Astyanax mexicanus: one gene and its partner. The protein of the gene in region 1 purifies or fractionates together with the protein of each later gene. This does not show direct contact. Links are inferred from orthologs where the notes say so. Each region holds a gene or a part of one and is shown on either strand. Other genes may lie near its edges.

Region 1 (7,848 bases):
AATTGTTAATAACAAGTCTAATCACACTGATCAACCAGCATAACCAAATAGTTGTGTGCCATATTGTATCGTACGCAATAATATCACCAACATTTTTGAATATTGCAAACAATATTATGCCCTGAAATATTGTGCCATATCACTCCTATTGATCACATCAGGGTACAACTTTTTTTGCTGTTTGTAGCAAAATAAAAAAATCACGCTTCTTGCGTTTTCCATTATATATCTACAAGAAACAGACTATATCTGTCTAGTATAATTAATTTTTCATTTAGTCCTGGATTTATGTAGTATCATAATATTCTGGATCATTGACTTCTGTTACAAATCTGATACAATTCTTGTATTTTTTAATATCTCAGTTAAGGGTGTGCCATATCACACTGTACGCAATAATAAAATTATTTTTTTATTTTGTTGCATTAGTGTATTTGTTTTTTTATTCAGCTTTTTGTCATATCTCCAAGAGTATCGTTTCATGAAAATGCCATATCGTGACTATCGAATAATATAACTATTGTGATATTATTTTAGGGCCATATCGCCCACCCCTATAACCAAATATAATGAAAATCAAATGCAGCATACTATATGCTGGTTAAGAGCTGGTTAACCAGCTAGATTTCCAGCAAAGTGTATGTTTCATCTGGACGAACAGCTTTTCAACTACCTTGAGCTTCCAAAAGTAGCTAGTCCTGAGCTGGATATTCCCGCAGTGTCATGGTATGACTATGTTAGCCTGCTCAGAACATCTCAATCTGTTAGTTAATATTGCTATCCCCTTACACTACACAAACTGGGTGTAAACATTGTGTATGCGAATAAGTGAAGACATCTTCCACGTTTTATTGTGGGTGATTAATAAAATAAAGATCTGCATCACCTCTTTCATGTAGTTTACATAAATGGATTCTGCTGTTTCCAAGAATCCTTGAGCTTTCTCAGTTTCATCTCTTCCAGCCCACAAGATCCCAAGCTGGTTCTGTTGAGGAAAGACAAAGAGTCAGGTTACACATAGGCCTGTCACAATAATTCTAGGTATTAACTTTTTAAACAATATATTTGCTTTGAAATATACATTTACTTAGAGAGGAGAGCTGATATGGGCCATACTATGGTATTTTATCATACTGTGAAAAATCATATCAGAAATATCATCAATGCTTAAAGGTCACCTTCCGTCGTTTTTTCTTTCATTTTAAAATGTCTAGTTGTGGTCTCTAGTATGAATGAATGACATGTGAGCCGTTTTTGTAAAAAAAAAGTGCTCAGGTGTCTCTGTATAGCTCTTTTTTAAAGGACTGTTTTAGGGGTGTGTCCAAAATGACCGGATTCCAGCTTTGCTCATGAATATTCATACATGCAAACAGCATGCAAATATCTCTCCTCTGATTGGCTAGGAGCACTGCGACGCCCCTCCACCGCTCTGCCGCTCACTGCCTCCCACCTCCTAACTGATGAGCGGTGATGTTGCGTCGCTTCAGCTCCGCCTCTGGGAGTTTCTCGAGCCAAGGTGGGCTGGTCTGTGAGTTTCTGCCTACGTAGGCAGAAAGATAATTCAAAATTCACCCGTTTTTCGGAGGGGGGGAGGGGGGACTTCTTTGCTTAGCTCCTGCAGACAATGGGGGCTGCAAAACAGTTTAATGTGCAGGTGTACACATTCAACTCGGAGAGACCTACTGTATTCCACAAAAAACAAGAAAAATCGGATTTTCGCGGAAGGTGACCTTTAAAGAACACTGACCCAACTATATAAGAGAGTGTAATTGGGTAGCAGTTTGTAAGGAATTTGCTACTGCATTGCAATTAGGGATGCATCAATACTGATACTGGTATCAGAATAGAAAAGCATACTTTCTTCATTTCTTTAAAAAATGCTAATGTATATAATGTGACTCAAAATATATCTCAAAATTAACAAATGAACTGTTGCATTGCACTACTTTACACTAAAACCTACACAGTTAAATAATGCTCCTGGTATGGGCGAATACACAAATACATGAACTCGTACTCTTACGCAGTTGGGAAAAAAAAGTATTGATGCATCCCTGATTGCAATAAATATTGTGCACTGTGAAAATGTCTTTAAACACTGTGATACAATAGTTTTACAGTATCACCTAGTTTTAGAGCAGAGTCACAAAAAAGTGGGATTTTTTTTTCATTTATTTAAGATATTAAAAATGGCTGAGGAATATTGTCAAAATATTGCATCAAAAAATCTTTATAATACATGGTCTTAATTGCAATATTTTTACATCACACATAGATAGAAAACATGCATCAGTAGTGATAGTCTGAACAACAACTGTTGGTAAAATAATCTCATTTAGTACACATTTAGTTCAGTGATTTGTGTTCAGAATGTGCTGCTGTACTCCATCCAGTTACATTATTTGTAATAAAATGTGTAGCATATTTTTCTTAGACTGACATTATACAGAATATGCTCAGAAATGTAACTACAAATCATGTGCATCATGATAATAACACCTTAGTGATATTTCTGTGATATATTCGGGATGTATGAGTGATGAATTTGTGTACACTGTGTTTTTACCCTGGCCTGGATGAACAGAGAGACGTTCTCCGGGGTCACTGTGCATTTCTCCAGCAGCTTCATGCAGTTCATCAGATGCTCCTCACCGGCTGAGAGCTCCTCGGTCTCGGTGTGGTTCACGCCCAGGTAGTACTCGATGACCGCGAGCTTGGCGGCTCTGAGGCCGGCCCGCGAGTCTCCCGGCACGGATCTCCCGGCTCCACACTCCGCCTCCTCGGAGCCGCTCTGCTCGCCCTGCCCGTCCGCCTCGCCGTCGCTCTCCTCCGCCTCCACGCTCTTCAGCGCGCAGTAAATGTCTTTTAACAGCTCCCGGGCTTCGTATTTGGAGCGGAACGGGTCGTTCTCCGGATCTTTTCTGGACTCCACCTCGGAAAGGTGGTTCGCCCGCCCGAATTTCTCGCACACCGCCCTCCATTCACGACTGCTGGTGGACGCCATGTTTGTTTTCTGAGGAGAAGAAGCAGAGCCTCTCCCTTCAGTTCAGCTCAGCGATCCCACCAGCAGAGGCCAGCAGCGGCCAGAGCCGCTGGATTTCAGCTTAGTATACACAGTGCCTCAACACAGCCCCTAAAGTGACATCAAGTAAAAAAAAAAAAAAAAAAAAAGCCTGGCCACGACTTATTAACGCGTGGGAACGAGATAATTAATAGTGGGACGGCTTATATGTTCCCACGCTTTAATAAGCAGCCCCCACAACTTAATTATCTTTGAGCCCCTAGGGTGACATCACAAAAAAATATGCAGCCACAACCTAACCCTTTCAGGCTTAAATTATTATGTTTCAATAATGGAAACATATAACAATGCTCTTTTCTGTCTGTAATATATGGAGCCACTAAGGTGACATCATTTAAAAAAAATAATGCATGGCCATACTTTATTAAGGCGTGGGAACAAGATCCTTAGGCGTGGGAACAAGATCCTAATGCATGGGAATGAGATAATTAAGGTGTTGGGGCAGCTTATATGTTCCCACGTTTTAATAAGTCGCCCCCACAACTTAATTATCTCTGAGCCCCTAAGGTGACATCATGTAAAAAATAAAAATAATGCGTGGCCACACTTTAATAAGGCGTGGGAACAAGATCCTAAGGCCTTTATTTCCATAGGCATTTATTTACAGAAAAGTAAGCTTTATTACTCTCCAGCTAGATTTAATTAACTTGTTCCTACGCCTTAATAAGTCGTGGCCACACCTTAATGACCTCATTCCCACGCCTTAATTATCTTGTTCCCACGCATTAGGATCTCGTTCCCATGCCTTAATAAGTCGTGGCTGCTAAAATTTTTTTTTTTTTAGCATGATGTCACCTTAGGGGCTCTGTAGTACTAATAAGTTGCCCCACAACTTAATTTTCTCATTTCCACGTTTTAATAAGTCACCCTATGACTTAATTATTATATCTTGTATCCATGCCTTAATAAGTCATCCCCATGCATTTTTTTTACATAATGTCACCTTAAGGGCTCTATACCCAGCAAATTTCTTATGTTGGTTCCCCCTCTCATCCACCCACACTTTTTATTAATGGAATTCATTATCTTGATTTAAAAATGCTTGAACAAATCCATGGGGTCCACTTTAACAAACCCACTTAATTTTATAGAAATAATATCATGCTTTTGTTTGATCTGCAAGAAGCATCCAAACTGAGAACTAAATTCAATAAATAACCCAAATACAACCCCAAAACAAAAGAAATTCACAATAAAATAATGAATAAAACTTTTATAAAAGTATGGGTCTTATCTTACACTCTGTGCTAGTTGCATCACAATGCTCATTGCTATCTTGCACTATGCCAACAGTCAATTTTTACACCTTCCACCTGTGTGGTTTAAATTGTGCCCGTGCTTGCAAATAGATCTTTAAATTGAAGTGTGTTCAGGTAAATTTATGTTTATATGCTCAGCTGTAGTGGAAAGTGACTGCACAATCAGTAGACACGCATCAGTACATGCAGTGTTCACACAAGCGTCAAGTACAGTAGATCTCAGGTCTTACCAGAAGCCACTGAATTTACGCTTCTGAATGGCGGGTATTTCTGTACTCTATCTTCCTTCAGAAGTAAAAATAATTTCCTGTCTGAAAAAGTTCTGTGCTGTAAAAGGCAAATCATCACACCATTTAAAACGCTCAATAATTAGCTCTAAATAATAATAATAAGACTCTTTCCTTCATATTTGTATATTTTTAAGCACATCTTTCACAATACTTTGGTGTACTTGCACATTGGAGCTACCACCTATCATCTACTTCTCTCTATCATCTACTTCTATCTATCTATCTATCTATCTATCTATCTATCTATCTATCTATCTATATATATATATATATATATATATATATATATATATATATATATGATGCACCAGACAAGCCACAAATTGACTGAAGTGCATCAGCACCTGTCTTAAAATAAACACCCACATCCTCTCACGTCATCAGTGCTATGGGGGCATGTTTGACAACCATAAGTGCACAAGAGCATTATTAACTACTTAGTCTGTTGGGTTAGTAATGTATTATTTGCCAAAAGGTCAGAATTTCACTTTTTTTTCTTTTCTTTCAGTAGTTTTACGCAAAGTACTGTTTATCGGCTAAATTTAAAGTCAGGTTTAAAAATAGTGTAAACTTCAGTGTGAACTTTATTATTTATTTTTTCCCATTTGGTAAGGTGAAGAAATGGACTTTCATCCATTTTTACATTTTTCTATTTTTGCATAATAAGAATGTCAGGGAATATTCAGATGTTTCCATTTTTGCATCTTGTAAAAATCTAATGGTATAATTCAATCTATTTTTTTAAGCAGACATGAAAAACGAGACAATTGGACAAAATGTTTTTTCTTCACTATGCAGTTGTCTACACACCACATGCTTCTGTTTCGGACACAGTGTCTCATGTTGCCTCACACTGATATTCAACTTTAAAATAAACCGTGGATGAACCATGCCGCACTCATTAACAGTTAAACTATCCAGGGTTCTAGAGGACAACTGAAGAACATAACTCTTTCTCTCATTTTAATAAATGTATAATAAAAGCAAAATAAATTAATACTGTAATTGAATATTTTAATCAATCTGAACAACGGTTTGTGCTGATTATAAAAATATAATGAAATTTTAGTGTTGACTAAGTGCTTGGGTCAGAAACGCTGTGGGAGAGGGGTAATGGGCTCATTTACACAGTTTACACTCCATTTGGTTTGTGTCTCTAAATGTCCAAACACAAGAGATTACATATTTACTCACAAAATTTCAGCACTTCACTTTTAATCATTTTCTGGATATTTAACAGACTTTTAAATCCTACATTCAGGGATTAACAGAATGGCAGAAATTATTGTTGTCTAATCCACTAATGAAAAACATAATCATCAGATTTGTCGACCACCAAAATAGTCATTTATTGCAGCTCTTTATCTAATGTAGGCTTTTCTGTTTTGTAGGATTTTTCAGATACAGAAAATGACTAAGGTATCCTATGAAAACTTTGTAGTGTATTGAAGGGTGTGATTGGAGATAACCACACCTTCACACTCTTATTCTTAAATGTTTTATACATGTATATATACAGTTATTATTTTTACTGTTCACTTTATAATTCACTTAATAACCTTATGATCTCTGCTCTCTTTTTAACTGTCACTATGACAAGGCTTTGGAGGTTGTTTTTACTTTTTCAGGAATCAGGAAGGTCAGAGTGTTTTCATCAACAATGAGAGCTGTGAGGAGAACGTGACCCTGAGTGGCAGAGAAGCTTCACTACTGTTCTGGGACCAGTGCATATGAACTAGGAGACAACAAGCTATCTGAGTGAAGTGCTGAGGACCTCTCCTCAGATAGCCAGCGCTTGCCTGTTCTACACGCCGTAAAGTCGTACACAGGGCAGAAGATCTTTCCATCCACTCTTTTCCTCTGTTTCATCTTCTCACAGACTTTAGGACACTTAAGGACTGTCTGCTGTGTTCATGAAGGACACAGTGCTGAACAACATCATGATAAGAACCTGTTGCTCAGACAGGCTGGAGCGGATCACGTCATTAAAACTGGACAACATGCTGTTAACTGGACTCTGCTGACACAATCATAGTGATAAGTTCTGTCCAATCACATGTCATTTGCAAAATGTATAACTGCTTGGATGAAGTCTGAGGAGTTCTCTCTGGCCCTCGACTGGCTTTAGTTTCTTTCTCTTTCTTTCTCTCTCTCTCTCTCTTTCTTTCTCTCTCTCTCACTTTCTTTCTCTCTCTCTCTTTCTCTCTCTGGGTTGCGAATGTGTTGATCTATCGAGATTTTATTCGTTGATGTACTTTTACTCTTTTCTAATATATATCTTTTAATTTTTGTTCCTTTTATATATCTGTAATGCTGAAACTATTTTTCAAGTAAACTTTAATATATTTTAAATTCTAAGCTCTGACTCATTGGTCATCATTTCATGTTCTGAGATTTCTCACATCCGAGTTTTATCTAAGTCATACTGTGGTAAATTACCCTACAGTATAAGTTAAGATATGCAAAATATTCGGCCATTACATTGTTACCACCTTGCTAATGTTAGTAGGTCCCTCATGTGTCACCACATTAAATTTAGACATTTGTGTCATGGTCTCACAGTCAAGTTGTTTGAAGGTTTATTTTGTTGTTTTTTGTATCTGTCACCAAGACATTATTGCAGCAGATCTTTCCTGTAATTGTGGTTTAGTGGTTTCCTTTCTTGGACCATGTTTTGTAGCTACTGACCATTACCTGCCAGAAAAGGCCCACAAGGTCTGCTTGTTGTTTTTTTTTTCAGATATTCTGACCTAGCTGTTTAGCCATCACAATTAATTATCTCTTGTCAAATTAGACTCAATAAGATTCTTAGATTTTTATGCTTGCCCATTTTTCCTGCTTTCAAGACAACTTCAAAAACTGACTGTACTGCCTAAAACTTCAATCTCTTGACAGATGCCACTGTAGATGAAGAATGTATAATTTAACTGCACCTGTCAGTGGTTATGGCTGATCGGCCCTGTTAAAATACACATATGTTTTTTCCTTATTTTGTTTGGCAGTAGTATAATATGTGGATAAGTGACAATGAGCCCATGAATAATGTAAAACTCACTGTGCATTTCTAGGATGTTTAGGCCCTCTCTGCTCATTTTAAACAAATGTCATATAAGGAATGATTTATATTTAACCAACTGTAATACATAAGTGTAAACATTGATTTAGCAGATAAGAAGCCTATAAACTATTGTTTTAGATATCAGAAAATAGGAAACTG
Region 2 (7,257 bases), on another chromosome or scaffold:
TACACAGGTGTATCCACTTCAAAAATGTCAAATTGGCATTTGAGACGAAAAAAGGCATGTTCTGCTGGCTATGATGGATGACACTAAGCCACAGAAATTCAACATTATATTCTTGTTCTACTCACAGGCATCTTCTTTTGGTTTTGTTCATCCTTGGCTACAAGCAAATCATGAATCTTCTCATTGTACACCTCAAAGTAGCTCATCTCTAGATGACAAGTGTCCTGTAAAAAATATACACACAGGTCTAAACACAATGATGTCATAAATAGTTAATGTACAGTTTTAGATGAGATACTGCCTTCAACCTAGGACTGGGACATTGTACTTTGGACAGCTCACCTCCTTACTGTCGGCTCTTGACAACCTTAAGAAAAGTTCCTCACAGAACCTCGGTATGATTCCAGCCTCTTCCCCAAAACCCATCATACTGGAAGAAATGTCAGAACAATTAAAAAAACTGCTTCCATCATTGTCAACAATGTTGTACATTTCTAAAAACCGTAAACTACAGTACTTACGTGTATGATTTTCCAGAACCAGTCTGCCCATAAGCAAACAGGCAAGTGTTAAAGCCTTCAAAAGCTCTTTCAAGAAGAGGTTTTGCCAAATTCTCATAAACAGTTTGCTGACTTGCAAAACGTGGGTCCATTTCATCAAGTGAGCAAAAAGAGAAGTCAAATGCGAACGTGTAGGTCTGCTTAGTATCTGGATGCTGAACCACCGTCTCCTGATTATCCATGAAAATTACTTGGCAGCTGTTCTCACCCTTTTCCCTGGTGGAATGAAAGAAACGAAAAAGGAGAAGATGAGTTTATCCAGCTGAAAAGGTGCTATTAATAACATCTAAATATGAATGTATAAAAATAAAATCTATATACTGTATATTGTGATAGAAAATGTTTCAATAAAAGTAATATGCTTGTAAATACATTAACGATATTTCAAATTTGTAGGTACAGACATTAATTTTGGGTAAGCCTGTCACAATAATTGCATTATTAAATTATAACACGATAAAATGGATGTGACCACACTCATTTTTGATGATCTTAATTTTGTCCACTGTGTTTACTTGCATACATGGTTTTAATAATGAATGTCATCTGTATTTTAGCTAGTCTAGATATTCTGATCTCAAGGATACTAAATATAAAGAATGACATTTAATACGAATTATCAAAGAAAAATACAAGTCTCAAACATGAGATGACCTCAATAATATTTGTATATTGTGTTTATTTGTATGTTTGTTCACATATAACTGTAAAAAAAAATTAGCCAGTCATGTAATGGCTGATATATCGTGCACAAAATTATTTTATTGTGACAGGCAAGTGTAATGCCATTTTATGTTATTATATTTTACTGATATATCAGTGGCATAAAATGGCAATAATATGATTTATTTATTTATTTCCACAATTAATCATAGAAAAATATATATAGTTATTATGACAGGTCTAGCTGTGGGCATTCTTGAGAGTTTGACTGAAAATAAGAAATATACCATGCTATATAACATTCGGCCATAATGTCCAGTCCTTATATCTAAGCCTTTTGAATTAAGACACCCATAAAAGGGAATGAAAATTGAATAAATACAATGAATATGATTCAACATACTGTAAATTCTATTACCTGGAACTGAAAGGCCTGACTCGCACTGCAACAGTAACTGCACTGTCCTCCATCTTCAGTTCTGGATGTGTTGCAGCTTGACTCACAAGCTTCCCTTCAGTGGAAAGAAGTGTTTCACTTGTGGACGGAGGCCTGGCTTTGGTTGAGCTCATGGTTCCACTGGGTGTTGTGGAGCTTGTCTGGGCTGTGGTTTTTCTCACCTGCGTTGATCGAGGAGTGACGGCCATCATAAGGTTCTTGCATTGATTATTAATAAGAGGTACTTTCTTAGAAGAAGAAGCCTGGGGTTTGCCAGAGTCAGTGCTTGAGTGCTTTGACCTGTCCACACAAGGATGCTGCTTCAGTGACACTGGTTTTGGAACATCTCTGGTTGCCAGTCTTTCAAACACCTCTTTCTTCAGACTCAGCTTCTCGAACTGTGTTTTTCCTGTTGGAGTTGAGCTTGCCTTGGCTTGGTCGTGAGCTGCATTTACTTTAGCAGTCTGAGCAGGACGCGTGGATGATTTCTCAGTAGCTGCAGTTGTGCAGGGAGTGTTTGGGGGTTGTAGCAGGTCTTTATGAGCTCTTTTAGACTCCGTGTCTCTGAGAGAAGCAGAGCGCAGCAGTGCTAACCTGCCCGGGGTGCGGGCACTGTTGGGCTCTGACAGCACTGCTGAGCTGACCCAGGCTCTTTTTTTCTCGTCTGCAGACGGAGTGCCCTTATCCACAGAGCCTGCTCTGGTCCTGCGCTGTAGAGTCAGCCGTTTCCCGTGCGGTTCGCTCTGGTTTTCGGTGTCTTGAAGGGCTGAGGAGAGCTCGGGTCCTTTGCTGTTTGTTTTCCTCCTCTGGAGAGTGAGCCGAGCTCCAGAGAAACTGGTGCTGGACGCGTTTGACCTCGGTGTAGATTTGTTTAGCGCGGATATAATATAGGTTTTGTTTATCTCTTTAACGTTACTTTTGTCAAGAGAACATGACGTTTCTTCGCCTTTTAACGCGTCCATTTTCTTTTCTAACTTAAAAGCTGAAGTGAAGAGTTAACCTAACGCTAAACTCCCATAAACGACCTAACGCTAATATGTTAGCATAACATAGCTAACTTAGCTAATACATGCTACATAACGTTACGTTAGCTAGCTAACTACTAGCAGAGGTGTTGTTTTCTACGTTGAACTCAACCAGCGTTAGCTTGCTAACTTTAGCTAAGTAGCGTTAATTAACTAACTGGCTAATCGTTAACTAGCGAACTCTGTTATTAACAACCTTGCAGTCTGTTCTCAGAACAGTAAACAGCTAAATATCCCCTGCTGTATGAATAAATAATATTTCTCTCACTACTGTGACTCTTTGTTTACCTTTTCCTCGCTAAGTAAGCGCTGCCTACTCTCCGCCTTCCTGCCGCTTCAATTCAAAAAACACCGGTCTGATCTTACTGGACCGCTGAGCGCGATGGCGTCACACACACGGTCCTCCCCATAGACATCCCCACACACCCAGGTCTTGCAGAGACAGGGTTTAATCGACAGGTGGCGCCATGTCGCTGCTTTTCTTTAATGCGACTTTTAGGGATGATCTTTATATAAAAAAAAATATTATTTATCAGTTTTTAAAAAAATATTAAATGTGTTTAATTAACTGCAGCTGCATGCCCCATTAATTTGTTATGTATTTTTAATCATTTCTTTGGACATTATAGCTGTATTAATATTTCTGTGTATTGCCTTCAGTAGCTAGATATTTGAAAACGGGTAATGGGAGCTATATAATGCTTAATATCTGCATAGATTTTTTTTTAAGTTTTGTTTTAACATGTTTTATAGTTATTCCTTAATAAATGTATATATTTTTCTATCTTACGATTTATTATTTGTACTTTAAAGACAGAATGTACAGAATGATTAAGAAAACACTTTATTTTGTGTAGTATCTGTATGCCTTCCTTAAAAACAAAAGTTTTTATCTTATTGGCAACATTAACAATAAAAAAGTAAAGAAAAAAAAACCCATATATAACCAATTTGTTTACAGCGACTGAAGTTAAGTATAATGAATTTTGGGTTTCACACAAAACCACTTAGACCACATTAAACACTCAACTGATTAAACAAACATTCTCTCTGTCTCTACAGAGATTTTGGGAAACTGGGCGTTTATGTGTAACTATATGTTGCTGCTTAATGTCAAAAATACAAGAAAAGTAAGGTGTTGTGGCCTTTTATAATAAGTGATATTTCACAGGGATTTTTTTTAATGATTTGAACACTATATGGTCATGTAAACATGTTTAACTATTTGAGAAATTTTAAACCAAATAATGTTTCTGGTACATGACAATATGATACAATAGATAGCATAAGGGTGTTTTAAAAGATAGAGCCCAAACTCAGTTCTTCTTACACATATATAAATTGAATGTGTCCAGGGCTCATATTCATAAAGCTTCCCGGTGAAAGAGTTCAGCTGTAAGGTGCTGGAGTGTGTTTAAGTCAATACTTTGTACCAACATATGCTTCTTCTCTTGGTCAACAATTAGCAGTCTAAAGCTACTGCTACAGATCACCAATACAATGGACAGTCAGAAAGCTCAGTTGTAACATCTATTTATTAATTGAAAATAAAGATAAAACAATAAAAAAACAGTTAACCTACCCTGATCAGTCATAACACTGAGTACATTTACAGGCATTTCATAATCATTCTGATCAACAAGTTTGGTCACTACCTACAAAAGTATTTACATCCAGGGATGAAAAATGGGTGAACCCAAGGCTCACTGATGGTTCACTTCACGGAAGTCTCACCTAATGACTTACGCAAGATATATAAAAAAGAATCCGTAGTCTTCAGTTGTCTTGTGAAAGCCATGCCTCATCAGGTCAGAGCTGCTTTGGTGGTACCATGTTGACCTATACAATTTTAGGCAGATGGTTTTAATGATAACTGTATCAAATGTGTCTTTAGAGTCCATGTCACTTCTTAGCACAGCTTCTGTCATGCCTTCTAATAATGTCAAGAAGGTTATTTTTGGTCACAACATCATCTTGTCCATGATTACTCCTTTGTCTGGCCCTCCTCTGCTGCTCGTGTAGATGTGGGGAGTTGAGGAGTTGTGGGGGAAGCTGTGAGCCTGTGGGTTTTACTCGGTTCACTATGTCCAGAAACAAGCGTTTATTGTTGTTGTTCATGAAAGTAATGGCTGTTCCTCTGTGCCCCAGTCTTCCTGCTCTGCCAATCTGTAAGCACAGGTATTAAAAAAAACAAACAAACATGTTACTAAAACAGTAATCAGACCACAATCTTTAATAAACATGTTCAACAAACAAATTTACACTGAATTAGGGTTGTCACGATGTGAATGATATTTGAATGACTGTTTAAATAAAATATTGCTCAGGAAATAATTGCATAAAAAATATAGTTACTTTAAAGATATAACTGATATAAGGACAATATCATTAAAATGCAAATACATTTTTAATTATTAAGAATATTTAGACATAAGATAAGAAATATAAAAACAAACAAAATTATCCTACATTAATAAAGCATAAAAAAAAAACGTTATAAACAGTCAAAGAATACCTTGTATCAAAAAACCCAATATTCAATAGAGGCAATAACCATATATTGTACGATAATTCGATATAGTAATTATCGTGACAGGCACAACTGTACACTCTCTACCACATTCCAATGCCAGCTGTCATCACCAGTTTTTAGAATCTAGGACATCGTACCTGATGAACATACTCATCCATGTTAGCTGGCATGTCAAAATTCACCACCAGCTTGACATTGACCAGGTCCAGACCTCTGCCCAGCACACCTGTACTGACCACAACTTCAAACTGACCCTCAAGCAGACCCTGAGAAATACAAAAGTTTTATAATAATTACATTGAAAATGAAGGTATTTATTACATATATAATCCAAGCAACGTTTTTGGGTAACATTTAAACCAAAAGAGTTAATGGGGACATGTGTGTGACAGACCCTTTAAAAGATAAAAAACTCATCACAAAAAAAAACAAGAATGAGCTGCTCAAGAATGGGCATTCATTTAACTAACTCAACTTTAAATTTTCTATTGATATTCAGAGGTTCTTAACGATTAATATTTCTGGTGACAATCAAAAAAATCTTACCTTTAGAATTCTATTGCGCTCCCACTGTTTCTTGTCAGAGTGAATAGCGACTGCGTTTAAGCCCATAACCTTCTGCACTGCTTCACATAAAAGGTCTGCTCCGAGTTTGCAATCCACAAACACTACGACTGGTGGCTGGTAGAGTTTTTGGTCCTGTAAAAAAAGAAAATCAATTATTAACATACTCAAGAATACTCTGCATGTGGACTTTTGTGTTGCAGTGACCTAATAAACAAGGCACTTGCTAACTGTGTGATGGGGCCCAGAAACCCCAGATTGGGATACTTATAGATAAGTGTTCCTGGGACCAGAAGGTTTCTGGTTTAATTCCCTGAATTAATAAATCATTCCCCACAGAAAATGGTAGTAAAAGAGCAGTGCATTTTTCTTGTTAGCTCCACATGTTCTTATTGTTTCACTACTAGTGTTTTACGTGTGTTCACTACTGTACAATGAACTAAATGTAAAAAAGGTTAAAATCTAATGTACTGCTAATTTGGTGCAGAATAGTAACCATTGTTTATTGTTCAAATTCTATAATAAAGGTTCAGAAACCAATAAACAGACAGTATACCTGTATAGGGGCACATTCTTATTATTTATTTTTTTTTACACTCATAATGTCAACTAATTGAATTGTTGATTATTAATCTTTGATTGGGCTGGATTGATTCTCAGACCTGTATTAAACTAAAGCTCACATTAAATTTTAAACCAGCTTAGTCCAAGACAAGAGTCAATTGATAAACTGGCCAGTCTAAAATTAATATACCATGTGCAAATTTTGGGTGTGGTGGTAAGAGATGATGCATAAAATGAGTGTTGAGACATTCTTTTCTCCCTGTTTCGTGTGGAATGTATGAGCAGTTACTCTTTTTCCTGGATCAGTGCCATAAAAGGTGACCCCTCCCATTTTCTCTAAAATAACGGTAGATTTTTTGCACCTGTCTAAATACACTCAATCCCAGTTTTACTAAATGGAATTCATGTATCACATTTTAGAAGTAATAATATACAGCATAAGGGCTTATGTAAAAACAAACAAAAAAAAATCATTCTACATGGATGCACACCAGCAGTAGGTGTTTGTGGAATATAATGATTTTCCATTACTTACATTTAGAATCTCAAAAAGTTTCTTTTTCTTTGATGGCTCTTCTACCCAGACAACGATTTGGCGAACATTAGCACATGGTTGGTTCTTCTGACCAATAGAGATGCGCACTGGGTCCTGTGTCAGACGAGATGCTAGCTGGTCTGTCCCGACAGGGATTGTGGCTGAAGTTAACAAAGTCTGATGATCATCAGGGACTTGCTCCAAGATCTCAAGTACCTGTTGCTGGAATCCCATCTTCAACATGGTGTCTACCTACGATGAACAACATTTGAGACTTCATAAGATTGTATGCATAGGTTGCAGCAAAACTTAAACATAAATAACAATTGGAGAAACAAATTAAACCAAATTTGAAAAACTGAACCTCATCAACAACA

What was found. The genes of interacting proteins can lie anywhere in the genome.
Region 2: the proteins of kifbp (region 1) and kif14 purify together in Homo sapiens (affinity purification with mass spectrometry; 3 studies listed by BioGRID and IntAct, counting the BioPlex papers as one, with this or other methods). This does not show direct contact. The link is inferred for Astyanax mexicanus from reciprocal best matches to the Homo sapiens genes KIFBP and KIF14.

What each region holds. Positions count from the first base shown.
Region 1 is NC_064414.1:42,927,126-42,934,973, forward strand, and holds the start of kifbp (KIF-binding protein), read right to left. Parts: upstream 3,079-7,848; 5' UTR 3,005-3,078; coding exon 2,567-3,004; intron 986-2,566; coding exon 887-985; intron 1-886. UniProt on the Homo sapiens protein: Activator of KIF1B plus-end-directed microtubule motor activity. Required for organization of axonal microtubules, and axonal outgrowth and maintenance during peripheral and central nervous system development.
Region 2 is NC_064423.1:20,759,729-20,766,985, reverse strand, and holds the start of kif14 (kinesin-like protein KIF14), read right to left. Parts: upstream 3,045-7,257; 5' UTR 2,622-3,044; coding exon 1,642-2,621; intron 777-1,641; coding exon 522-776; intron 431-521; coding exon 343-430; intron 225-342; coding exon 126-224; intron 1-125. Other genes in the region: probable ATP-dependent RNA helicase DDX59, read right to left, coding at 4,587-4,850, 5,355-5,483, 5,764-5,916, 6,881-7,132, 7,245-7,257. UniProt on the Homo sapiens protein: Microtubule motor protein that binds to microtubules with high affinity through each tubulin heterodimer and has an ATPase activity. Plays a role in many processes like cell division, cytokinesis and also in cell proliferation and apoptosis.